3 linked regions of the Arabidopsis thaliana genome follow. The protein of the gene in region 2 interacts with the protein of the main gene of each other region in a pairwise test. Each region holds a gene or a part of one and is shown on either strand. Other genes may lie near its edges.

The links.
Region 1: the proteins of AT1G65690 (region 2) and AT1G49230 interact in a protein complementation assay, tested with the Arabidopsis thaliana proteins (one large-scale study listed by BioGRID).
Region 3: the proteins of AT1G65690 (region 2) and COR413-PM1 interact in a protein complementation assay, tested with the Arabidopsis thaliana proteins (one large-scale study listed by BioGRID).

The regions. Positions count from the first base shown.
Region 1 is NC_003070.9:18,205,536-18,214,045, reverse strand, and holds AT1G49230 (RING/U-box superfamily protein), read right to left. Parts: upstream 4,853-8,510; 5' UTR 4,727-4,852; coding exon 4,067-4,726; 3' UTR 3,869-4,066; downstream 1-3,868. Other genes in the region: AT1G49225 (uncharacterized protein), read left to right, coding at 4,899-4,901, 5,394-5,428, 6,186-6,256, 7,383-7,507, 7,591-7,734; AT1G49220 (RING/U-box superfamily protein), read right to left, coding at 7,345-8,100.
Region 2 is NC_003070.9:24,429,273-24,437,957, forward strand, and holds AT1G65690 (Late embryogenesis abundant (LEA) hydroxyproline-rich glycoprotein family), read right to left. Parts: upstream 3,894-8,685; 5' UTR 3,627-3,893; coding exon 3,164-3,626; intron 2,666-3,163; coding exon 2,370-2,665; 3' UTR 2,145-2,369; downstream 1-2,144. Other genes in the region: EXPB6 (beta expansin 6), read left to right, coding at 45-63, 189-295, 672-865, 1,074-1,398; LSM8 (Small nuclear ribonucleoprotein family protein), read right to left, coding at 5,191-5,281, 5,373-5,425, 5,505-5,556, 5,838-5,914, 6,258-6,332, 6,426-6,466, 6,562-6,598; AT1G65710 (serine/arginine repetitive matrix-like protein), read right to left, coding at 7,785-8,685. UniProt on the Arabidopsis thaliana protein: Plays an important role in the abiotic stresses-induced abscisic acid (ABA) signaling and biosynthesis. Acts as a positive regulator of ABA-mediated seed germination inhibition. Functions downstream of ABF2/AREB1, ABF4/AREB2 and ABF3.
Region 3 is NC_003071.7:6,945,574-6,954,003, reverse strand, and holds COR413-PM1 (cold regulated 413 plasma membrane 1), read right to left. Parts: upstream 4,154-8,430; 5' UTR 3,842-4,153; coding exon 3,672-3,841; intron 3,587-3,671; coding exon 3,479-3,586; intron 3,396-3,478; coding exon 3,325-3,395; intron 3,237-3,324; coding exon 2,992-3,236; 3' UTR 2,979-2,991; coding exon of another isoform or gene 2,944-2,978; 3' UTR 2,812-2,943; downstream 1-2,811. Other genes in the region: AT2G15980 (Tetratricopeptide repeat (TPR)-like superfamily protein), read left to right, coding at 1,159-2,655; AT2G15960 (stress-induced protein), read right to left, coding at 6,418-6,651.

The sequences.
Region 1 (8,510 bases), 6.2 Mb from region 2:
TGCAGGACTTTTCTTTGATGATGCTACTGAAAATTGCTTGGATGAAAACAACGTCACGTTACCCACTCGTATTCAATTCTTCGCCTATTCCACGCGCTTACTATCTCTTTCGTTAGAAGGAGTTTGTGATCTTTTTACCACACCTAAATGTTATTCACTACATTATAGATTTGTAGTGCTATATTCTTTATTTCATCTCCTAAAAACGTCATTTTTGCAATTCACCCTAAATTTTATTACACTTTTTTTCTATATAAAAAAAAGAAAATCAAACATTTGTAATTAAAAAAATCATAAACAATGGTAAAATTATCATATGTTATTTTTTTTTATGCGGAAGCGTTCAAACGGAACATATATTTTGGCCGGTTTAGTGATAACTTTGATATGAAATTATATGGGAAGTGATGTAAACATCAGTTAAGAGCACGAACGAAAATTAATCCCAAACCACCGCTCAAGGTCACTTTGACTTCCTATTGATCTCTCTAAATTCTCTCTCTTTAAAACGTTTTCTTTCTTTAATTTTTTTTCTCTTTGTAATGTTTACAAAGATATCTTTTATATCTTTCTCAAATCGTCCTTTTATGGACAAAAGAAGATGAACCATAGAGAGACAAGAATGGTTTTAGTCTCTTAATGAAGTAACTTCCCAATAATACTGCTTAACTAAAACTTGTTTGGTATGCTGCAAATCGACCATAAACCAACAAGTTTCCTGACAACCCAAAAGCCTAATGTCGTAGTTATTCGTATTAATTACAAACACGGGTTAAATTATTAGGTATAACAAAAAAAAAAAATTACCAACAGATACAACATAAATAATCGTCGTATTTTAAAATTATGCATTCATTTCGAATATAAAGTTAATTAGTTAATACAGGACAAAGAGGTACACATCAGATATACGAGGCAGTACTTGTTAGCTATATCTCGTAATTTGTCTTGGCTTTGAGACACATCCACTACATTTTTCCTTTTTCTTTTTTTGGGTAAAGTACCCACTAGTCCACTACAATATTATAAAAGTTTGCAATTATATATGTACAACAGCTCACCTCAGCTCTTCATTGTGTAACAAAATTGAATTGAATTTTAAGAGATGGGAACTTTTGTATTGTAGCTACCAATTATTTATGTTTTTAGTTAAAAGATTAATTGAGGTGTCATGCAACATTACCACTTATGTGGAGAGTCCAAAGAACCCTAAGACCACCTCTTTGTAACTTTGTTGCTTGTCATCACTTATGTAACGTTTGGTTTTTATCTTTACCAGCCTCTTTCTTGGAGTCTTTACCATTCTGACCATCTAGTACAGATTAGCCATGGGATGAATAACCGATCTGAAATAACCAAATTGGGCCGAACCAAGATTTTAGCTGTTCGCTTTGAAAAGTTACATGTCCTTAACAGATTGGTTAAATTTGAATTTTACTTCAATTAACCAAGTATTTTGCTTTAGTTCAGTTATCACTTATCAGTTAACTAAATTATATGTTGTTTATAACCAGATTATACCACAATTATACCGTTTTTTACCAAATTTAAACTAGTTTCCATCGATAACCTAGCCAAAATTAAACTACCCGAATCTAACCGAAGAACCAAAATTATTCAAATATAATTTAAAAATCGGATTAGAAAATAATCAAATATTCGGTTAAATTACATTTTGGGGATAAAATTTATTTTTTAGTTATATATTTTTGATCTATATAAGAGAGTGGATGGATATAAACCACAAATATATGTACCTACAATAATGAATCCAACAAAAGGTAGTTACAATCCACATGAGGTAGGTACCATTAAAAGAAAACTACAAAATCTTCTATTTTTGTTACGAGGGTAAATAGAAATCAAAAGATGTGTAGAACCCAAGAAACTGTCATAACTAAACTTTTAACGTTGGTCCACTAACCGGAGCAAACCGGTAGAAAACCGGAAAAGAAATAGCTGTTGTGAGATGGAAATCCAAAAGTCAACTTTATGAACCATGTGTACAGCACATGCCGAGAGAAAATTGAGTTGGTAGTACTACCCTTAAGAACGTTGTGCCCCATCATTATGAAACTACATTACTCATGATCATGACTATATTAAACTGACACTCCATTGATATATAATAATACATATATATAAGTTATATGACCGGCCACGTTTTGATATAATATCGGAAAAAGTCAATTAACAATCTTTTTTGTTATTCTTGGTTTTACAACATGGGTTGTGAATGGTTACGGCGGTTGGGGCGGACACAACCGTCAATGGATCAAACCGCTTTTTATTTTTCATTCATCAATTATAGTCCGCAGTGGTCCAAACAAAAAAAAAAAGAAAAAACCCGCAGCGGACCATCTGCGAACTATTTTTACATACAAATAAACTTGCTCCGCAACGGTTTATTATCCATCCCAAAAATGAAATGGACTAAACCGCAGATAAATTAGACCGTTTTGTCCGCTGCCTCCATTAATAGCCTATGTGTTTTTTTCTTTTCTCATGTGGTTGTAAATAATTTCTTGTAATGAGTGGCTCACCACATTCATTATAACTTGTTAAACCAAATGTTTATAAACTATAACCAACAAAGAGATATTTTAAAAAATCCCTTTCTATTTTGATATAAGAAAAACACCCGATTTAGGAAAAATGCTAAATGGGCTTTATATAAATGGGCCCGTTAAAAGCCGACCCGAGTGGAAACTATGGAAGATCCGATATTGGTTTCAAGAGAGAATTTCTGAAAATCATTGGCGCCAACAAAGCGAACAATCTCTGAACATTGCTACTTCGTCGTCTTCAGCAGATCTTCATCAACGAATACGGTAAGAAAATTCCCCATTTTTCACATAGTTTTCTGGGTATTTTCGTACAGCTTCATTTGAACTTCGTATCTTTGTCTCCTTATTGTCAATTTGATTGGAGCGAAACTTGATTTTTTCAATTTCATGTACTCTTGTTTACTTCTTCTTGTTCATTGTTTAATCCCGATACGTAATTAGTTCAGAAGATAATCTCATTTGGTTGATGCAAAGTTTCCCCATTTTGGTATCTAGGGTTTACAATTTCGTTCGTCCACCTCATAACTTGTTTATCAATTTCTTTATTTGGAGATTAGTGACCATATTGATGGGAGTTTCTAGATTACTACTAAGGATCTCTCTTTAGCTAGTCAGTAAAGTACTGTTACACGTACTGCTTTTTTTAAAGTTCTACTTCTAAGTAATTGATATTGCAGCTCTTCATAATCCATTATCTATGAAATTGATCTTGGTAAATGCCGGTTGTTGAATTATTGTGGTCACTCATTTTCTTCATGTGGTCAGTATAACATTGAACCTCCCCTTTTAGTATTATTTGATTTGACCATATGGTGGGATTCGTCCTCGGACCCCATTCGCTTTGTGCTGTTTCTTATGGTGGTGACCTCTCTCTCTTGTTCTCCTTTCGATGGATTATATTATTGCATGTTTCTCTCATTTGTGGGCCTTGACATTTTTCTCCGGGGCTTCGCATTGTCACAGCCTACAACTTAATTTGTTCAATAACAAAGCAAGAAGACTCTTCTACCTCTGGAAGGGTACATTATGTTATTGTATGATTTATATAAAAGTGTAGTAACCCTTATGATAATCAGTAAAATAAGCTAGTGGCAGAGCCTGACTTTAATAACCTTGAAACTTCATAATGGTAAAGATTATGACATCTCTCTTTAGTTGACTAAGTGTATTGGCCACCTCCACTAAACTATTGCTTTAAGCCTTTCAGTGATTTTCCTTCTCATCATCCTGTACATTTGATTTTTGAATTGTTTATGTTTTGTTTTCCAGTGTGAGTATTTGCAGATCTAATGAAATTTTCCTTTATTGGCTTGTAACTGTGAAATATAAACATTTAGTAGTTCAAGATATGAAGAAAGTAACATTCTCGTAATATTTACAACTTTACAGTTGAAATGCTAAACTTGTTTTTAAGTGTAGACCGCTTGTAATCTCAAATAATTCTAAAACATAGTAGTTTAATCATAGCTGCTACAAATATCTAGGTGACTAGTTCTAGTTCACCTAAACCAGCGTATCCATCTTTCCGGTTCTAGTGGTGCTATTTGGAGAATGATGCTGTCTTGTGGTGGTTGAGTAGAGTTTAACGAGCTTGTTTGGCTGCAGTCGGCAATCTTCTCGCATGTCTGGATGAGGCAGTGCCTGCAGGTGGGACAGGACGAGTGTGAACTAAGCCACTTGTCTATACAACGGACATGGAATCCATGGTGGCATGTCGGCAACAGCTTCACACGTTCCTCGGCTACAAATTCCGAGAGACAGATAGCACACTCGGTATCTAAGCCAGGCAGATTTAGTTCAGTAGAGTAACTTACTGTCTGGAAACTCTTCAAGGCTTTTCGTTTGACTCCTGTGTTGGTCAAGCGAACAGGATAGTTGTCACCACCAGCTTCAGATGGTACTAAATTGGAGCACCTCAAGGCACATCTTATTATAGAATTGAGTCCAAGTGAGCAAACAAGTGCACATAAGAGGACTGATAGGACCATAACAACATTTGCATCAAAGTTGTTATCGCCTACATATGGGGATGGTGCTGGAGTTGGTGATTGATCATGGGTATGAAATAGTAATTTTCTTGAGTAAGAACTTCCAAGAATTTCTTGAAAGATCTCAGTTGGTTTTATGGTGGAAATGGAAATGGAAATGGTAGTGCACATGATAACTTAGTTTTAAGATAGATTGGTGGCTTTCTGTGTTTCCGTTGGAGGTTGTTTATATAGAGTAAAGGTTTGGAGGCTAATTGTTTATATAGAGGAAAGGTAAAGTTTCAATTTTTTTTCAGATATTTAATGAGGAATTTTTTTTTATATATTTCATTTAGAAAAACTTATGGTTGGATGAATAAGAAGCTATAAAGATCAAGCTCACATTATGGACCTTTACCTTTAGTGTCTAATTTTATAAAATCATTTGCAGCGTAATATGCTTTGTTATATAAAATGGGTCCATCATACCAGTTGCTGCAATAGTAGTGCCATGTGGCTGTGGCCTTAGCAAATCATATCTCCCAGAATTGCTTCTAGGGACCCATGAGCTTTTTAACTGGAGCAGCCATGAACTTTCCCTATCTTTGATATAGCAGCATTCAAATATTAATATCTCCTGGCTCATTTTACTGATATCTCACTGTTCCTTGATATTAGCCTGTTAGGGCTTATAATATATGTTTTCTACTTATGGTCTTGATGAAAACCGAGTTTCGGTAGATAGTTCTGACCCAGTGATATATCACATATGTGTCTAACCTGTAAAGGAGTTTCTCATATATAAAGCAAGGTTTGATTTAACTTTTCTTTTCTTTCCCTTTTTGCTATTTTTTAACAGTGGTGGAATCTTAAAAGTTTTGTTGATTTTGTGCGGTTTTGAGAGTGTACGGATGAAATATTTCCATTTAGTGAACTCTACTTATGTTTGGGGAACAGGAATCCACCCCATTCGTAGTAACTCAAGTTGTCCATAGAGTAGCCAAAAGGACAAAGCCTCTCCCAATCAATCTTGTTAAAGGCTACTTTTATCACTCTCATAGCATTAGTATCCACCTCCTGCTTTTTTTTCAGTAAACAGTTTCTCTCTCTCTCTTTATCTTTACATGCCTTTGTTTTAAATCAGAGGTAAAGGAATTGGTCCCACGGATGAACGAATAAAAAATGATTCTTTTTGTTTGCTTTATGAGATATCTTCTTCCATTGGTTGCAAATTGCGAGGGAAATCTACATGAATCTAGTATCTAATGTTTTTCTTGTAGCTCCAAAATCAAAGCAAGATTCTTTGATATGTGCTTTTGTATAACATTGTTTCTTGCTACTTTCCTAATAGCTGGTTTAGTGAAACATTAGATTAGGGAAGATTGTGTATCTTTGGGATAAAAAGTTGATGTTACACAGTAGGAGATGCATCTTTTCTATCTTTTCTCACCAGTCTCACTCGGAAATGGATTCCTTTTTTCTTTTGTCTGTGCCATTAGGTTACATATAACTGGTACAAATATATATAGTGGTCTGTTTTCTTGGTACCTTCTTTAAAGCAAATAAACTTTACTTTTGTTGTGTTATATGCTATAATGATTCGTTTGTTGGGAATATCTTAATTTGATACTCATTCACTTTAAAACTGCAGGGGTAACATGGATGAAGATGAGAAATCTGAACAGACAGAAAGATCATCCAAACTAAAATTGGTCATTCACCGTTTTTTTTTTTGAATGATGGAAGTGAAATGTTACCAACATATCGAGGTGAAATCACACGACACGACTTAAGGTGAAATAACGCAACTTGGTGAGAATTTGAAATATTTCTGAGAACATTTTTGCTGGATGCATTTATGATTTGGAAATGGTTTTGGATCCAGTGGGTGTTAAGAGCCATAAGAAAAGTTTCAGAAACATTTTAATTATAGTTCTCTTTGGCTAGAAAGTTGAAATACTGAAACACAGAGCTTTAGTCCTGTCTTTTAATCATTTATGTACCATTATTGACTTTCTTTGGTGGAACCTATTCTTTAATCATTTACTCTTTGGCGCCATTTCTCAGTGTTCATCTTTTGGTGAACTTTTGATTAAATATATATTTGTTCTTAGTTCCTGCTAAATATCTATAAAATATCTTTTTGGTCATTCTTCCTACTAAATATCTGTAAAGTAAATATTTATTTGATCATTCTCCCTACTTAATAATTTCTTTCTGTCAAGTAAATATCTATTTGTTCATAGTTCTTACTAATATCTTTTTATCTTTTTTGTCTTGTTCATGGTAATTGCTATTTTGATGACTTATGCGTGTGGATCGGTTTTGAGGCATATAGATTAATTATTAAGTGGGTTGATTCATGTAGATAGATGTAATTTTGTTTCACAAACTTTGTGCTTTTGTCATTATCAAGAGTACATGGGACCAGGTCTGGACCATAATTCCATATGGTAGACTACACACTGCTTCTTCACACAACTAACTCTTGGCATTAGTTATTGGGAAACCATTTATTCTGTCTAGTGACGTTTTGGTTCAGTGTACTGATATGACACATAAGAATATACGACCAGCACTTATCAATCTTTGGTTATCAGATGAATCTTGATGTTTTTGGATAAGATTGCAAAATTCACATTCCACCGTAAAAATAGTTTTACAAAGGAAGTTTGATGGACTCATGAGATGCTACTGAAAATGAAACATAATCACTCTGTATACACTTTGTGCTACAGGTAAAAAGAAAGTCATAAAAAAATTAGAAGTACAAATTCTGAATTGCTGATGGTTTCTGTCTTTCTTTGCATCTAGCTGATTTCTCTAATAGTGTTTACTCTTCCTTCAGGTTCTAGCGGAGCAATCATGACAATAACGATCTCTGTTGGTTCTAGAGGAGCAATCGTGACAATTACGATCTCTGTTGGTTCTAGAGGAACAATCGTGACAATTACGATCTCTGTTGGTTCTGCCGTAACTGAATCAGCTTGACTGAAGTCACCTAATATCTTTTGGCACGTCTCAACCAGACAGTTTCTGCATTTTGGACAAGTCAGATGTTGTTGAAGCCACTTGTCTATGCAACGAACATGGAACCCGTGGTTACACTTGGGGAGCAGCCTGAGCTGTTCACCGGAAACAAAATCAGACAAACAAATGACACACTCTTCGTCAAGCCCTGGCAGGTTCATCTCAGGTGAGTAACTCACAACTGGGAACATTCTAAGAGCTTTCTTCTTGATTCCTTTGTTTGATGAACCCCGTGTTGACGAAAGACTTGGTACAGGCTCGGAGATCATGAAACGTGTAGAACGTCTGAGTGCACAACGAATGATGTAATGTAACCCGAGGCAGCAGATAATGCCACAAATGAGGATTGAGAGAAGCATCATAACATTCCCACTGAGGTTGTTCTCATGGGTTATGAGAGGAGATGGTGCAACCGCAAAGGCTCGTTGAGTGTTGTGGTCAAATGGGTTGTGCAGAAGCAGCTTTCTAGAGACAAAACCGCCAAGGAATTGTTCTTGGAAGGCTTGAGCTGAAGAAGGTAACTCATTTGCAGACATTTTTACTCTTTGAGAAAGCTTAAGGTCAAAGTCGCTTCTCTATGCTTTGTTGGCTTTCTTTGGTTATTGCTTCTTAAGTTCTGAGGAATTCAAAGTTGTCTTAAATATAGCTCGAGATGCTTACTGATTACTGTGGGGACTGAGTATTTTATCTAATACTATTTTTCTAAGAAAGTGGGGTTTCTTCTTTTTAGTTTTTTTTTTCTTCAAATGAGACTTGAGTGCTGATTGTGCCATTGGCCCATACCTCCTCCAACCCTAAGATGCTTGTGTATAGGGACTATCACTTTTCCAACATTAAATTTGGAAATCATTTATTTATGCCCGACTTTAAATTATAAAACTTTGTTTTATCATTTTTGTCCTGTGTTGAGTCTTGATAAGCTAGATTCTATTTGATTAACGTTATT
Region 2 (8,685 bases):
GGAACGTGAACTCGTTAAATCGTGTGTGTCTTTGTTTCTTTAAGTTAGGCGCCGGTAGCACCGGTACTAACAAAATTACATATTTGTAACAATATATATATATATACACACATACATTTTAGAATAGTAAATTCTTTATATGAATATATATGATGCTTAAATGTGTATATATATATGGTTATATATAGGAGGAGCTTGTGGTTTCGCAGTGGCTAATCCACCATTATACGGGATGGTTTCAGCTGGAGGTCCTTCAGTGTTCAACAATGGAATAGGATGTGGAACATGTTTTCAGGTTTGTATGAATGTATATAGGGCAAGACTCAAGAGCATAGTGTTACGTATGTAACACAGAATTTATGCCCTTTTGGTCAGCTTTGTTAATGCTTTTTAGGTAATATATTAGTTAGAATAGTATTTTCAGAAAAGATGATACAATTTTATATATATGTAGCTAAGATTGTTCATAAAACGTAAAAAAAAATTGTGTAATTATATTCAATAAAATGACCAGTTCATATGTCTTTTTTAATTAATCAGAATGAACATTAAAAATTTGGGTTGGAAAAAAAATTGACATAGCATGCAAGATCTGAATGTATGTTATATGGTTACAACAAGATTTTACTTTCATCAACTATATAGTATATGTTAACATTTTTATTTATCAGATTCTATGCAATGGGCATCCAGCATGCTCGAGGAGACCAATAACGGTGACGATAACCGACGAATGCCCTGGTGGTCCTTGTGCCTCTGAACCAGCCCACTTTGATCTTAGCGGCAAAGCCATGGGTGCCTTAGCCAGACCTGGCCAAGGCGATCGACTTCGATCGGCTGGTGTTCTACGTGTTTACTACAGACGGTACTTATATACTTACATAATTTTTGTTTTAAAATTTTTCCTTTTAGTATGTATATCTAGGTTTTGAGTTGAATTTTTTTTTTTTGATAAATCAAAGAAATCAATGTTTTCATTTTTGTTATTATCTTTACAGAAATATTATTTAATTAAAATTCAACTATTTTCTATGATATACGAATCAAAATATTGACTATTGTTTTTTGATCAGCGTGGAATGTTTATATCGAAGAACTAACATAGCTTTCCGTATGGACCCTGGAGCAAATCCGTACTACATTTCATTTGTTGTCGAGTATGAAAACGGTGATGGAGATTTGGCCTATATAGAAATTCAACCAGCCGACGGAGAATTCATCCCCATGCAAGAAATGAGGTCTGCTGTATGGAAGATCAGCTCTGGCAGTCCTCTAACAGGACCATTCAACATCAGACTTACTTCTGCTGAATCTCATAAAGTAGTCCTAGCTTATAATGTTATTCCGGCGAATTGGAAACCTAATGAAACTTACCGTTCAGTTGTGAACTTTAAGTAGAGTTTTCTTTGTCAAATTTGAAATCCGACACATTTCATTGTTTTTCTCTAGTCAAACTACAATATACAAATCTTTTTTTTTTTGGCCAAATAATATACAAAGCTTATGATATAGTAACGAATAATAGAAAGATATATGACTTACCACCAATATGAGCGCATATATTATATTTTTTGCCATTCTCTAAATCTTTTTTCATCAAAAGAAAAATTATCGACATTATGCTCATTCTCTAGCCAGTGTTACAATACCTTTCAAAGGTAGCCTTCCTCCTGAAACTGGTTGTACAACTACAAAGACTTCGGTTTGGTATATAACTTGAACTAGGAATTTGTTTCTTTGTACTTTTGATTCAGGACCTTACTTCATGAGGATAGTTCTCAAATTGTTACAGAGGACTGTCACAAGTTAAGTACATGAATCTTCTTTGTGTAAGTTCTTTTAGCGTTTCTTTTCTACATGTCTCTCTCTTCTCGCAAAAATTCAGTTTGTTCTATATATCTATGTCTCTTTATTATCTCTTTCATGTTGCTTGGAATGTCTTACCATAAGGTTTATTTATTGAGTTTGGTCTTTGCTTTAGAATACCAGAAGTAATTGTTGGAACAAGTAAATCTAATGCAAATTTGAATTCATAACTAAGATCTTGGAGTTACCTCCAATTTAAGTTGTAAGTAGTTAAAACTGAATTTTGGAGTCTACCTTCAACCAATTGTTTGCTTAAAAGAAGGTAAGGTGGAGTGGTGGACATGCTCTGGTTTTAAAAACTTACAACTACTATACTTTGAATTCCACCTATGTACATAGTATTGTATACTTTAATATATTAATTTAAACCAACAGTTTATTATACAACAAAGGTCTGAGACACAATAATGTACTTTAGAGGAGAACTATATATGAGTATGTGACTATATCTGACAAAATTCCCTCTGTATATCTCGATATTAATTATATAAAAAAAAACGGATCTATAACCTAAGACGAAATTTGCAACTACTACTTTGAATCTTAATAACATTATTGGTAGCCAAGCTATCAACAAATACACCACATCTGACCAAGAATCTTACTTCGAAGAGCTTCAACTTCCCAAATTTGACCCGAACCGGTTGGTTTACTCTAATTCTCAATGGTATATTCCCGGTTCTTTGTTGTTGCTCTTCTAATGTCGTCCTTAAACCCGATGCATTTTGTGTTTGACCAGTCATTTCTACGTATATCACTGTCGTATTTTCATGTCCTTGGTAAAATTTTGGCAACGACCCTATTCAAAAAAATCACAAAAGTTCAATGAAGTTAAATCTATAAGAAGACCCGGTTTGAAATGGTGTAAACGAATTATAATCAAACAAGAAAACCAAACAACATAAATAAATATGTTTAGTTTTGGGGTTTTCAGTCCGGATAAACCGGTATGATCCAACTCTACCAAAAACGATTGATTTGAATGAATTAACTCTATTATATCCGAACTATTGAATATGAACCGAACAAAAACTATCTAAACCAAATTTTGTTTGAAACTAAAGATATACAGTATTTGACAATCCTAATCCAAAATGAAAGTAAACCCAAAGCCAACCAAAAAAATTTAGACATCCCTAATTTGAAAAGAGTTTTAAAGTCTTCCTTGTGTACGAACCAAACCAAAGGAAAAGAACAGAAATCAACCAAATAAACCGGTTTTGTAGTGAGATTTTGAAGCCTTCCTACGTTAAAAAACCAAAAGAAAGCAAACCGGAGTAAACCAAAAGTGACGTACCATTGCTTAGTTGATGTTCCATGTACCACACGGTAATCTTGCTCCCATCTTCATAATAAATTCCAATCTTCTCGTTCGGATTCTTAGCGGTTATAGTCACGTTAAAAGCCGTAGTCAAACTCGAGTCTTGGTTCAGTGCAAACCGGGTGAGCTGTAACCGGTCAATAGAGTAATCCGGTAGCTTCGGTTTAAAGACAAGGTATAGTATACCAATGGATGCGCCTACTGCAACGACAAGAAGCAAAAGAAAGCAGAACGTGTAGCAAAAGCATCTGCAACAACAACTTCTTCTCTTCTTTGGAGGAGCCAACGGCACGAACCGTTGTGGCCTTTGGTTCAAAGGGACTTTGGATGGGTCTCCATGTTCTGATCTAGAGGAACCACGAGGAACCAAAGGAGCTGTTGGACGCGCTGTTGCGGCTTCTGGATCTTGGACCGGATAGATTTTTTGGTGTTGAGACATTTTTGGAAAATCTTGATGACACCAAGAAGAAGAAGAAGCTTTGTTTGTAGATCTTATTTAGGGGTTTGGGAAATTAATATAAGTAGGGACCTTATGGAGTTTTTAAAGTCAAGAGGGAAGAACTTTTCAATGGAGAGACTTCTCTATATGAACCTATAGATTATGAAAAACAAGTACATTCGCTTCCATACAACACATCACACGTGTAATGTGAATTTGCGTGTCTGCTTAGGTAGCGGTCTTTTATGGAAATTGAGTTTGATGTGAACCCATCAAATAAAAAAAATAAAAATCATTAGTAGGTATCAAATTACTTGCAATATAGATGGAAAAATTAGGATGACTTTTTGGAAAATACATATATTGTAGTCCTATACATTATCAAACAACTAAAAGTTATATCCACTTAAGATATTTTCCAATTACTATTTGTTTCTTTTTATTTCCTATAATTTTTTCTATTTACTCTTTTGCTCTTTCATGTTTACTCTTCTTGATTTATTTATATTTCATATATAAATGGTACTTAATCTACAAAATAAAATTTCATATATTTACGCCTCGCATTGTCTTTGAGAAAATACAAGTTTTTAATATTTAGATCGCATATAGTTTGACTAATAGGTACATTATAAAGTCAAAATACATTTGATGAAGATCTACTTTACTTTTGTTGACCTAATCCCCTAAGACTTATGCAGCAGTGTTCTCATGCATTTCGTCATGAATTTTTTTTCTTTTACTTTTTTGTTAACATGCTTTATTTTATTATTTTTTTTGCAAATAAAATTCCATTCGAAATCCCTAGGCCCCAACGATGTTAATTTATTTGTAGTGTTTCTGTTTAATATTAATCGTTATCAACGAAAAATTTTTAGAACGCAATTCTTTTGTTCTTCATATTAATAACCAAAAATCAAAAGCTTCTGATAACACTTACTATGAAAAATTTCAAGAAATAAATCACTTAATATGAAGAATATTACATTGGAATCGTAAAAGAAGACCCAAGACTCCGATGAAATCAGAAGTGTTTGGTTTTGGCGAGTTATTACCAAAACCAACGACTTGTATGATGCGACTATGGGAGAATGACATATTAAGTTAATATCTATATTGTTGTCTTATAGAAAATGTATGATGCTTCTAAGTTTTAAATACGGCCATTTGTTGATGTTGATAGATTTGATGATGTATATAATCCTTCTAGATGAAATTGCAACGACATTATAATTTGTAAGATACCAGAAACTAATTCCTCTTTTTTTTTTCTTTTGCAATTTGAATATCTATAAAATTTTGGTTAACAATAAAAGTTTTTTTTCTAATCAAAGAATTTGTGGTCTAGTAGCAAACCTAGGTCCGTCCAAAAGATTGTATGATTTAAGTTTCCGACCAAAACGTTTAAGACATAAAATATCATATAGCTTTTGTCCTTAGGATACACAAATAAGACAACTCCAGACATCAAAACAAACTATCCAAATTGTTTACAATCAAATCTTCTCTTTGTTTTTAGGCTTTGAATGAGAGAATTAGATTTTCTCACCATAACTATATTCAATCAATGCACTACGGGTTTCAACGGATGGGCTCTCAGCTTCGAAAAATCCAGACTAGCATCAAGCTCCTCGTCCAGCTCCCCGATAACACCTCTGATCAAAGATGACACCATTTTTTTTATTGAAACAAAAAAACAATTGCAATGTTAGAAAATCACTGATGATGATGGATGATAAGAATTACATGTTGTCCCCTCTGATGATGTACAAACCCAACACATGTTGTTGTACTCCTTCCTGCAAAGATGAAGACATAGTAAGAGGTCTCAATCCTAATTCCAATATCCATCATTTTAACAGAACTCTGCCTTCACACCAAAAATATCCAAGAACATTTGTCTAATGAAGTATCAACATGACCTGACATACTCTTAGTGTAAACAAGAAAACAGACATGAATCAAACCTTTAACCCTCTTACGAAAAAAAGGAGGTGATCATGTATAATTAATTACACACTGCCAATATCTACGTATTTGACTTACCTATCACTAGCTAAATCTTTTGACATATGAACTCACAAGATTTTTTCAATCAGTTATAACACTCGAAGAATACTAACACTAAATCTGTTTCGGTGTATCCAACACTATCTGATTTAGATACTTCCATTCAGAGGCCAGTTAGTTCATGATTCACTATTCTCTTACCAAACAAAGAACTGTAGGACAAGGCCTATCTTAAATATCTGAGTAAGTTTCCTCAATATTCTGTTGAAAAGATGACACTACGCAACTAAATCAAGCAATGTACATTATTAGCAAGAACGTAGTACCAATTAAAAGATCAATACCAGACGACGAAAGATGCTTTGAGTGACAATGAACAAAAGATAAACTAGCATCCTTATAGTACCTCTATTTTTCTAGTTTTATGCGATCACTACAAACAAAATATGGAGACATCGAGAACTCTGCTACATCATAGCCACTCATGGATACAAACCAACAAGGTTTTGCAGGTCATACACTGGCCAATTTACTTGCAGAAAAATGTATTTGCACCCATTCAATTTAGTAACATCGAAAAGTTCAGATGAAAATACTTTAAAACAGGAATCAGAAGCTAACCTTTGTGGAAAACACACGTTCATGAGATTCATCAAGGATTATATTTGTAGCCTGGTCAAAACCTTTAAGAACTCCCTGAAAAAATATAAAAATCGATCTCTTTACTAAGATACTTGCATTGACATAAGGAGTTCTAAACCAGATATCACACAAGAGAGTATAACATACCACAATGTTGCGTCCGTCATTTGTAATCACCGAAATAATCTCTGCAGCAACCAATCAAAAGATAAGATCTTTAGACAATTCATGTGACAGAACATCACATATCAATCGAGAATGGCAAAAAAAAAGACTAACTTACGATCGACGAGAGTCTCAAGTCCAGTAGTTGCCGCCATGTTACAGTTCGGAAATTATTTGAACTGAAAGGTTACTAAAAATTAGACTAGGAATTTCATCGAACACTTGGTGTGCTTACGGATAACAATGAAAAATTAATAGATTTCGTATCCATCTCAACGAGAGATTTCACCAAACTTAACATAAATCCAGAATTACGAGAAACAAATGATAATTCCAGTGTAATTTGACCTAAATTAAAAGAAACCACCGAATAGAAAACGAATGTAAAACAGGTTCTGGTTCACCGGAGGGTTTCAAGGAATTCAGAAGAAGAAACGTATGAGGGAAAAGCTCTAACCTTTGCTGCTTCGGAATCTGAAAATCGTTACTTGGCGGAGATTCTGATTGGTAAAGAAACCCTAAAAACCTTTTCGTCACTGTTGTTCTTAGAAAACTCTCCGGCGTGTGTTTTTGCTTTTGGATGTTGCTTTTAACTACGAAATGTTAAAAGAAATACTCAAACCGAACCGAACATTTTATCCGGTTTAGTTATTTTATCCGAAACCGACAATTCTGAAAATTTTCACCTGAACCGAACTGTTTAATCCACCAAGTATGCATGGTTCGGGGTTCAGATCGGATTCAGTTTAGATTTTTTGGATTCATCCGATACAAAAATTTAGTATATATTTGGGTTCTATGATTATTTGGTTCGGTTTTTGGAAAAAACTACATATTTTTTCAAAATTTTAATAAAAATTGAATTACAAAAAATATATAATTTTGTCATTTAGTTTAGGTATAATACTAAGAATTTTCGGATATTTTGGATATATATAATATATCTAAGATATTTTTGGATATTTTTGTTAATTGGTTAAGGTATAATTATAATTTAAAACATCTAATAATTTTGAATATGTAGATATTGTTTCGATTTTTCAGATATACTGTTTGGTTTTTGTTTCTGTTCGGGTTCAGTTGGGATAATTCGTGTAAAATTATTTAAAAGTCTCTCCGGTTATATGATTATTTGGTTTGGTTTCGGGTCCGATACAGGTTTTTTGGGTTTTATGCCAGACTGAAGATAAGAAGAAGATTCATTGAAATTGTCAAATTGACATCTGAATTACAAAATAAACCAAACAAAGGAAACAACAATAGACAAACAAAACAACAATTTCTCCATATTAAACCGCAACAACACGAGTTTCTGTTATTGCTAAAAGTGAATCTCCCTAGTCACGTAACATTGTTGCTACCAGATGATTCCTCCAACGAACCACCACCTCTCTTCACAGTCACATACTTCTCAAAACTCGGTTCCATAAGATCGGCTTTCTTCACCGTCGATGTGAATCTAAACCGGCTCGAATCAGACCTCAAACAAGTTCTGTTCGTCATAGAGTTAAGATCAGCCACTGCTTCAACAATTGAACAAGCTTTACTAACACACAATGGCAGCGAAATCACGCTATCATCAACACTCTTCCCATGAAAACTCTGAATATCTTTCAACAACAATGCAGTGTAATTGTTATCCTCGTTTGATACCAAATCGAAATCTCGAGATTTCCTCAACGATCTGCTTCTGCTTAACACAACTTGAGGAGCTTTCGTAAGTTCTACAACAGCAACACGACTCGGGCTTGGACCTCTACTTGTTCTTGAATTAGGTTTCACAGATTCTATCATCTTCTTAGTGTTTTGATCAATCTCTCCCAATGGATTTCTTCTATAGGGAGATTGTTCCGCCTTTCTTGAATTACTCCGGCTTAGCGAGGGAACATTATTCCCCGCTCTAGCCGGAGATTTTGACCTCGGAGACGCCGCTATTCTGCAAGCGTCTCCGATGTTTCTCTTAACCGTAATCCGTTTTACTAACGGCTCTACATTGTTACTCTTATCCGTTGCAGGAATCGTAACAAACTTTCCCGGTCTATTATTACTCGAATTTACCGAACTGCCACACGAATCAGCGTTACGAATCTCAGAACGTTTCGCCGGAGATCTACTCACTCTCCTACTACCACCGCCGCCACCGCCGACATTTCCTCTTTCTCTGCTTCCCGATCTTTCTCTTTCTCTACTCGGAGTTCGTCTTCTCCGTTCACGAGGCGAACCATGCACTCTCTCTACTCCA
Region 3 (8,430 bases), on a different chromosome or scaffold from region 2:
AGAGATATTTATTATTAAAATAATATAAAGCAGTGAAAAAGAGGAGAGAGAAGTGAGAATCGTCTCTGTGTTTTTTCAGGAATTGTTGATTTTATTTTTTAATTAAAATTTAATACTTTATCTGAATTTGATTAAAATAAATAAAATTTTATTCATGAGAAACTCTTTTTGAGAATCAACGATGTAGATGGCCTAAGTTTATTAAATATTTACCTTTTACTAAAATACGAAGGTTTAAAAACCTATAAAGAAAAAGTTAAAATTTAAAAAATATTTTTAAGAAAGGTGAGATTTTTATTTTTTAAAAAATTGAATGTAAAATTGTATTAAACCAAAAAATGTTTTTACAATGAATGCATCTGTTTTTGAATTATATTTTTGAAAGAATCTTGAAGTGATAAAAAAAACTTGATGACTGCCTTACGGAATGGAGCTGAGGGTGAGCCACTCCATCCGTCCGTAGTCGTAGTTTCTGTCCATTGTTTCACGTATTGAGTTGAGTCGATTTCTATGTTCTTGTCGATGAGCTTGAGTAGCCGGTTGTGAGTTGATTTTATTTCCCCATGTCGCCTTGCGTTTCTTTCCCTCCAAATGCGGTAAATCGTCGATTGGAAGACATACCTTAGGAGGAAGAGTTTAATCGGAGGTAAGAGTTAAGTTATGTAGAGAAGAGAGAACCTAATTCTAATTGGTGTGGAAGTCAATCCCACAAAATTTATGCGTAAGAAAAGCCATATTTACGATGAGTATCAAAAAGAGAAGAAGAGGTGATTTTTTCTCTCTTCAACATTATAACAAAAAACATTGTCTATCTATTAGAAATGTGGCCTAACTTAACCCAAAAGCTAGCTCAAGAGTTAAGAATTGTGACATCGTTTATATAATACTTAAAAATCTTAATCCCAAACAATGTGAAAAATTCTGATACTATCCGATCATGTATCAACCATGCAAAGAAAGAGAGTACTCGGGAGTTGCATAAGAGAACCATATATATGTCTTTGGGCCAATAACCCCACGTATATGTTTCTTTCAGTTCATAGTTAGCTAAGTTTATGCAGGAATCGGCTGTTTTGTCAGATTTTTTTACCCAGTTTTTCTCCAAACCAGAGTATAAAACTGTGAGAGTTCAACTCGAAAGTAAAAGAAACTTTTAAAATGTCAACTTCAATACTAAGACGGATACTCGACCCGACCCGGAAACCCAAACCCGATGCAATCCTCTCAATCTCTCTCCTCACTACCGTCTCTTCTCCGCCGTCTCCGCCATCAGATCCTCTAATTTCCGACGCCGTCTCAATCCTAACACACCACCGCTCCAAATCCCGTTGGTCCACTCTCCGATCACTCCAGCCTTCAGGCTTCACACCTTCTCAATTCTCCGAAATCACTCTCTGCCTCCGCAACAATCCTCACCTCTCTCTCCGTTTCTTCCTCTTCACTCGCCGTTACTCTCTCTGCTCTCACGACACACACTCCTGCTCAACTCTCATCCACATCCTCTCTCGATCTCGTCTCAAAAGCCACGCTAGTGAAATCATACGTCTCGCTCTCCGTCTCGCCGCCACCGACGAAGACGAAGACAGAGTCTTGAAAGTGTTCCGTTCGTTGATTAAGAGTTATAATCGATGTGGCTCTGCTCCGTTTGTATTCGATTTGTTGATAAAATCTTGTCTTGATTCGAAAGAGATTGATGGAGCTGTGATGGTTATGAGAAAGTTAAGGTCTAGAGGAATCAATGCACAGATTAGTACTTGTAATGCTTTGATCACAGAGGTTTCTAGGCGTAGAGGTGCTTCTAATGGATATAAGATGTATAGAGAAGTTTTTGGTTTAGATGATGTTAGTGTTGATGAAGCTAAAAAGATGATAGGTAAGATTAAGCCAAATGCGACCACTTTTAATTCGATGATGGTGAGTTTTTATAGAGAAGGTGAGACTGAGATGGTGGAGAGGATATGGAGAGAAATGGAGGAGGAAGTTGGATGTTCTCCGAATGTTTATAGCTATAATGTTTTGATGGAGGCGTATTGTGCGCGAGGTTTGATGAGTGAAGCGGAGAAGGTATGGGAAGAGATGAAGGTGAGAGGAGTGGTTTATGATATTGTGGCTTATAACACTATGATTGGTGGGCTTTGTAGTAACTTTGAAGTTGTGAAAGCGAAGGAGCTTTTTCGAGATATGGGGTTGAAGGGGATTGAGTGTACTTGTTTGACGTATGAGCATCTTGTTAACGGGTATTGTAAAGCGGGGGATGTTGATTCGGGTTTGGTTGTTTATAGGGAGATGAAAAGGAAAGGTTTTGAGGCAGATGGTTTAACAATTGAAGCGTTAGTTGAAGGGCTATGTGATGATAGGGATGGACAGAGAGTTGTTGAAGCTGCGGATATCGTGAAGGATGCGGTGAGAGAAGCAATGTTTTATCCTAGTCGGAATTGTTATGAGTTGTTGGTAAAGAGGTTGTGTGAAGATGGGAAGATGGATAGAGCATTGAACATTCAGGCTGAGATGGTTGGGAAAGGATTTAAGCCGAGTCAAGAGACGTATAGAGCTTTTATCGACGGGTATGGAATAGTAGGTGATGAGGAAACATCAGCATTGTTGGCCATAGAAATGGCTGAATCACTCAAGCTAAGAGCAGAAGAAGAAAGCTAGAAAAGTTGAGCTTCGTTGGTAAGCTGGTGAAGCAAAGATGACAAAACCACATAGAAACCAATTGGTGACACAATGTGGACAAGTTTTGTGGTGGTACGAGAAAGCGGTAAGAAGTGGTACACATTGTAAGATGATACAACGTTACCCATTAAAGCTATAATGATGAAAGAGGAGATTTATTCCACACTAACACCTCATGATGATATCTTATTGCTGAAGCAATTCTTATTCAAATCACATTCATTGATAGAGTTACGAGGAGAGACAGATCGTACAAAGCAATCACTCTTACATGAAAAAAAAAAGACAAATGGAAAAAGAAACTGAAGAGTTAACTTAAAAGATAAGAGCCCAGACGGGGAAGACGACGAGACAGATGATCCCGACGGTGTTGGAGATACCATTGGCTTTAGTAAATGCATTTCTGAATCCACCTGAAGCTCTAATGTGTTCTTGAAGCAAGTAACATCCAATACCTAAACATATAGCTAAACCAATCCAACTGTCTCTGAATGTGCCAGCAATCAAATTTGGTGCCACCACGGCGAGAAGAACCAAAGCCACCGGTAATTCCAGGTATTCTAATAACACAAACAACAGAGATAAGCCAAATCAGAATCAAAGTCTTGTTGCTTGTAATGGAGAGTGAATGAAAAAAAGTAGACAAACCTCTGGCGTGTTTAGGAAAGAAGAGTTGTACAACAACAGCTACGAAAGCAATCCATTTACCAATTTCTCCTCTGTCAAAGTTTCAGACACAAGTTAGGGTTTAGGAACATAATGATAAGTAAAGAAAAAGTCTCTGGCTTTTGTTGTGTTATACCTGAAAATACCAAAGATCAAGGAAGGAAGACTGAAGAAGATGTAAGGAATGAGAAGTGATGTGAGCATATTCGTCTTCCAATTGGTTCGATCCAACACCAACAAGTATCTGCATTTATTACATCAAAACCTCATCAAGATCAACACAAGAAACGGATAGAGGAAAGAGACATAGAAACAGAGAGAATGGTTACATGGCGGCGATTGAAGCAACCCATTCGAGGACAGAGGTACCAAAGCCTAAACCAGTGAGTGTGAAGGCGTGTGTAGCTAGGTTCTTAGCAGCGATAGTGAGCTCGTTGAAATCGGATCCGATCATGGCCTTAAGGGTTCCATGGTCATTCCTCAACGACTTCATAGGCATCTTTTCTTGCCGGAGAAGAGAGAACTATGAATAATTGATGTGAGAAGAGAAGAGAGTAAAGAGTAGATAGATGGTGATGAATGTGTTGGAAGACTTTGGTTATAAAGATATTACAAGTGACTCGATGGATACGTTTACGCCACGTGGCAGTTATGAAAATAGTTTAATTTGGACGAACTAGATATTTTATCTATATTAACAATGATATAGTATAGTTTACTTAATAAGCTAATCCGATTTCTGACATAGACCTTAGACACATGTCGACACCAACTTCTCACACATGAACGTTCTAATAAGTTTGCTTTAACAAATGTAATTGGTGGACGTAAGAAACAATGGGACGAGCCAGCTGTCCAGTTGTATTTTTTTTTAATGATAATATTTATTACAATGCAAATAATTAGATATGTTATGGTGGAATCTCTTAACATGGATATATTAAGAATGGGAAAAATCAACATCTAAATCATAGGGTATGTCGGTATACATTAAAGTCAGAGATCGTCAAATCCAACTAAATAATAACAATATGCTTCAAGCAGATTTATTATATTTAGCCAATAAGTTGTATGGATTCGTTGAAGTTTTCATTCTATAATTAGACCATATGGTTTTACAGTTTTCTACTGTAAATGAATTCACAAAAATCTAAATTAAAAAAAAATAGAAAAATACTTAATTATAAAGAGATACTAGTTCGATAATCATATATGTAACTAAGTATAAATAAAACCAAATAGAAAATGTGCAAGTAAATTGTTGAGCTAAAAAATCAGATGAGATGGATCAAAATCCAATCAGTTAATGGTTACAAAAAAAAAAAAAAACAGAGTGGCAGAAGTTATGGTTTTTAATATGATTATGTGATGTCGGCAGAAGATTTGTCTTGAGTAGGACCAGCCAAATAAAAATAAATTTTGTTTTACCATATTAAAGTTGTTGTTGACGGAAAGAAAAAAATGTAACATGCTCCAGAATCGTAACAAGTAAGAGAGTATCGAACTCTCATTACGGTAACGAAATACAGATTCATCCCTAGCATAACTACATAAGCGACATAAGCTATGAATCAGAGTCCAAAATAAAATTAGAATTTTTCGTTTTTCAGTTCTGATTTTTTTTAAAGATTTAAGCCTAAAACCTAAAATGTTTAATAACTCATGAGAGTTGAACCCAATTTTTTCTTTTTTCTTTTTCGTTTTGATGATTTTAGTTTTTAATCAGTATTTGTGATCTTTCCATATTATATTTATGTCGTTTATGATAATTAAAAATAAAACTAAAATTTTACTTGGAGTAAAACCCTCAATATTGTTGGATCGGTCCTGAATATGACCTCACTAGTTGTTACTCGGTTAAAGAGTATCACGTTAAATAAGCTGCTGAGTGCTGACACTACGCTCCACAATATCCATATTAAATAATAGAAACTTAGTTTAACCAGAACGGGAAAAATGTCATTTAAATCACGACTTCGCAATTTGTGGTGCTTTAAACATAAACTTTGTACTTTGTGATTAAAATCATCAATTACGTGTTGACTTCAGATAAAATCACTAACTTTCGTTGACAGAGCCAAATTAGTCACAACATCAACTGAATAAACAGAGCAATTAGAAGATGTGATTTATCCGTTAATGAGACCGTTTAAGAGCAAAACGACGTCGTTTGCAATTGAAACAAAAACAGGAAAAATGCCATATAAATCATGACTTCGCCATTTGCAGTGCTTTAAAGCATGAACTTTGTGCCTTGCAATTCACTTTGATTTCAAAATACAGGAGTGAATTCGAAGAAGAAAAGAAGAAGAGATTTGAGGATCTAGGGTTTCTTATTTCTGAATTGGGGATTTTTGTTTCAATTGCAAACGACGTCGTTTTACTCTTAATCGTACTTATTAACGGATAAATCACAGCGTTAATGAAAATCTAGAATGGCCTGTAAAAATTCTCCCATATATCTAATTTTGAAATAATTTTGCTGGAATAGAGTTTAGTTGATAAGATACACTTCAAGTGTTTTGTGTTGAAGGAAAGAACTATATGATCGTCATGTGGATCAAAAGCCCAAAGCCCAAAGCCCAAACCTTTTGTAACCGTTGTTTCCGTCTGGGCCAAAAGCCGAAAGCTCATTTGGTATCAATAAAAAAAAAAAAAAATCGTTATCTGTATTGAATATTGATGATATCTTCCAGCAATCTCATTCATGATTGGCCACTTCAAAATCTTTCAATCAAATTTTAGTTTTGGGTTCCCTCAGAATTCCTACGTTATTAGAAAAATTATAATCATTTCTTGTTTTATTTCTTACTGAATGATGCGAATGTTCCTAATTACAGAGTGAATAGAAAGTTCCATCTTCATATAAATCCCGGTTAATAATAATTGAACACTATTGATTAAAGTAATAAAAATATGTTTCTCAAACACATTACTTTCACAGGTTTACAAGGAAACTTAAAAACATGGTCTGCACAAACAAAATCTGATATATAGACATACTACATGTAGTTTCTAGATATATATATACACATCACCAAAGAAGAGATCTAGAAGTAGTTGGGTATGGAAAGATCACCAAGGAACAAAACGGTCCATGAGAAGACAAACAGTGAGCTCAGACATAGTTACAGCTTCATTTTTCTCTCTAATCTTTTGGTTAATAAGTCCTCTTTCTTCTTCTGATCCTTGTTGTTGTTTGGACACAACAGATGTTGAATTCTTCCTTTGCATCAATGGATTTCTAGTGTTTATCTTCTCACTCATCTTCTTCATCTCTCCCACCCAAAGCTCCATAGCTTTTGCCATTCTTTCCTTTTGTTGATCTTAATATCTCATTATGAACGAGAGAGAGAGAGAGAGAGATGCATGTGAGCTTTATGTAGACAAAGAATAGGGCCTTTTGGTCTTTTGGACTTGCAAAACCATGACAAGTTTGATTGGTGTTTTCAAATAATTGTGTTATTGACACGAAAGTGGACAATCTGTTTTACACTTTGGCACCGTCCACGGTCCAACTATAGAAGAGTTGTCTTTTTGGTATATATATATGTACATAGTTTCTAAATTCTAATGGCTGGAAAAATCATCAAAATCCAAAAAATATCTCTTTGGCCTTCTTGAATTTTCCATATGCACATACAGTTTCAAATCATTGAAACCAAAAAATATCTCTTTCACCTTCTTGAATTTTCCACGTGTTCAAATAAATAAAAAATTCCACGTTTTCAAATACTTTATGATATAGTATAAATATATTTAGTGTTGAATCATATCATCATCCGACCTTAGCTCAGTTGGTAGAGCGGAAGACTGTAGTTGTTTAAAACAGATAATCTTTAGGTCGCTGGTTCGATTCCGGCAGGTCGGATCTTCTTTTTCCTATTTTTGACGAATTCATATCTTTGTGATATTTGTAGTGACGTGTCGTTAATATCTATATTGCTTTATTCGTTGCATTTGGATATGGTCTGGCCCAAGCGAATCCTATTGTCTTATCTTATTCTTTTTTTCCCAACCCCACTTGCCAATAGTTAGATGTATCAAATTCAAAGTCCTTCTCAAATAATAATAACTTTAACCAGCAGTTTACCGCGGGCAATCGGTTTATTTGGTTCTTATACTAAATATTTGAATAAATTTAATATCTTAAATTTATAAATATAAATTTCTAGTGATTAGTGAAGAATCGTAATATATAATTTGAATATTATTGATTATTGATTTCGTGATTGAATATAGTATTTTCAGGGATGGAATGTGATCATACTTTGATTTCAAAAACGACATAGATTCCTTATTTTTGTTGAACATTTTAGATTGAAGGAAATTAATTTTATTGAACGGTTTAGATTGAATCGGATCATGTAAAGTTTAGGAGATTGTTAAGACCAAATTATCCTTAATGATTTTAAATAGCAAAGAACAAAATCCAAAATTGAAATCTAAATTAAGGCCAAATTAGACAAAATTTCAATTTGTACTTCCCTTTTAATAATAAAGAGATAGTTAGATATATATGAGTTTTCAACTCTTATCATCCTTTACTTGTTGAATCCATTTGTTTCCTAGTTTTTGTTTTATTGAACAGTTGTTGAATAGTATTATACTTAGTCTTCTCCTATTAACAATTTTGTTGAAAATTGAAAATGTAATATGAGTATTGAGGCTGCTCATACTTATTATGAAAACATAAAAGATAAAGATGATATTTATTCCCTACTGTTGACAGAGTCTGGTGGTTTAACCCTTTTATCCAGTTAAACCCAAATTATCAACAAAAATCTTTGATTAATTTATTAATCAAGTGATAGATAGTTTATTTATAAACCAAACTGCAGACTGAAGAAAATGAGATTGGGGTTTAATGTTGCGCCACTGCATCAAAAAGCTTAGGAGAAATGGTATAGATGATTTTAACTCTATCCAAGACTCCCCGAAAAGCTATGGGGTGTTTACTATAGGTTATACATGGCTTGGGAACGACGATCTCCGAGAGTCAGGCTTGAGGTGGATTCTGAGATTGTGGTGGGCTTTTTGACGACAGGGATTAGCGATGCACATCCACTGTCTTTCCTAGTACGGTTG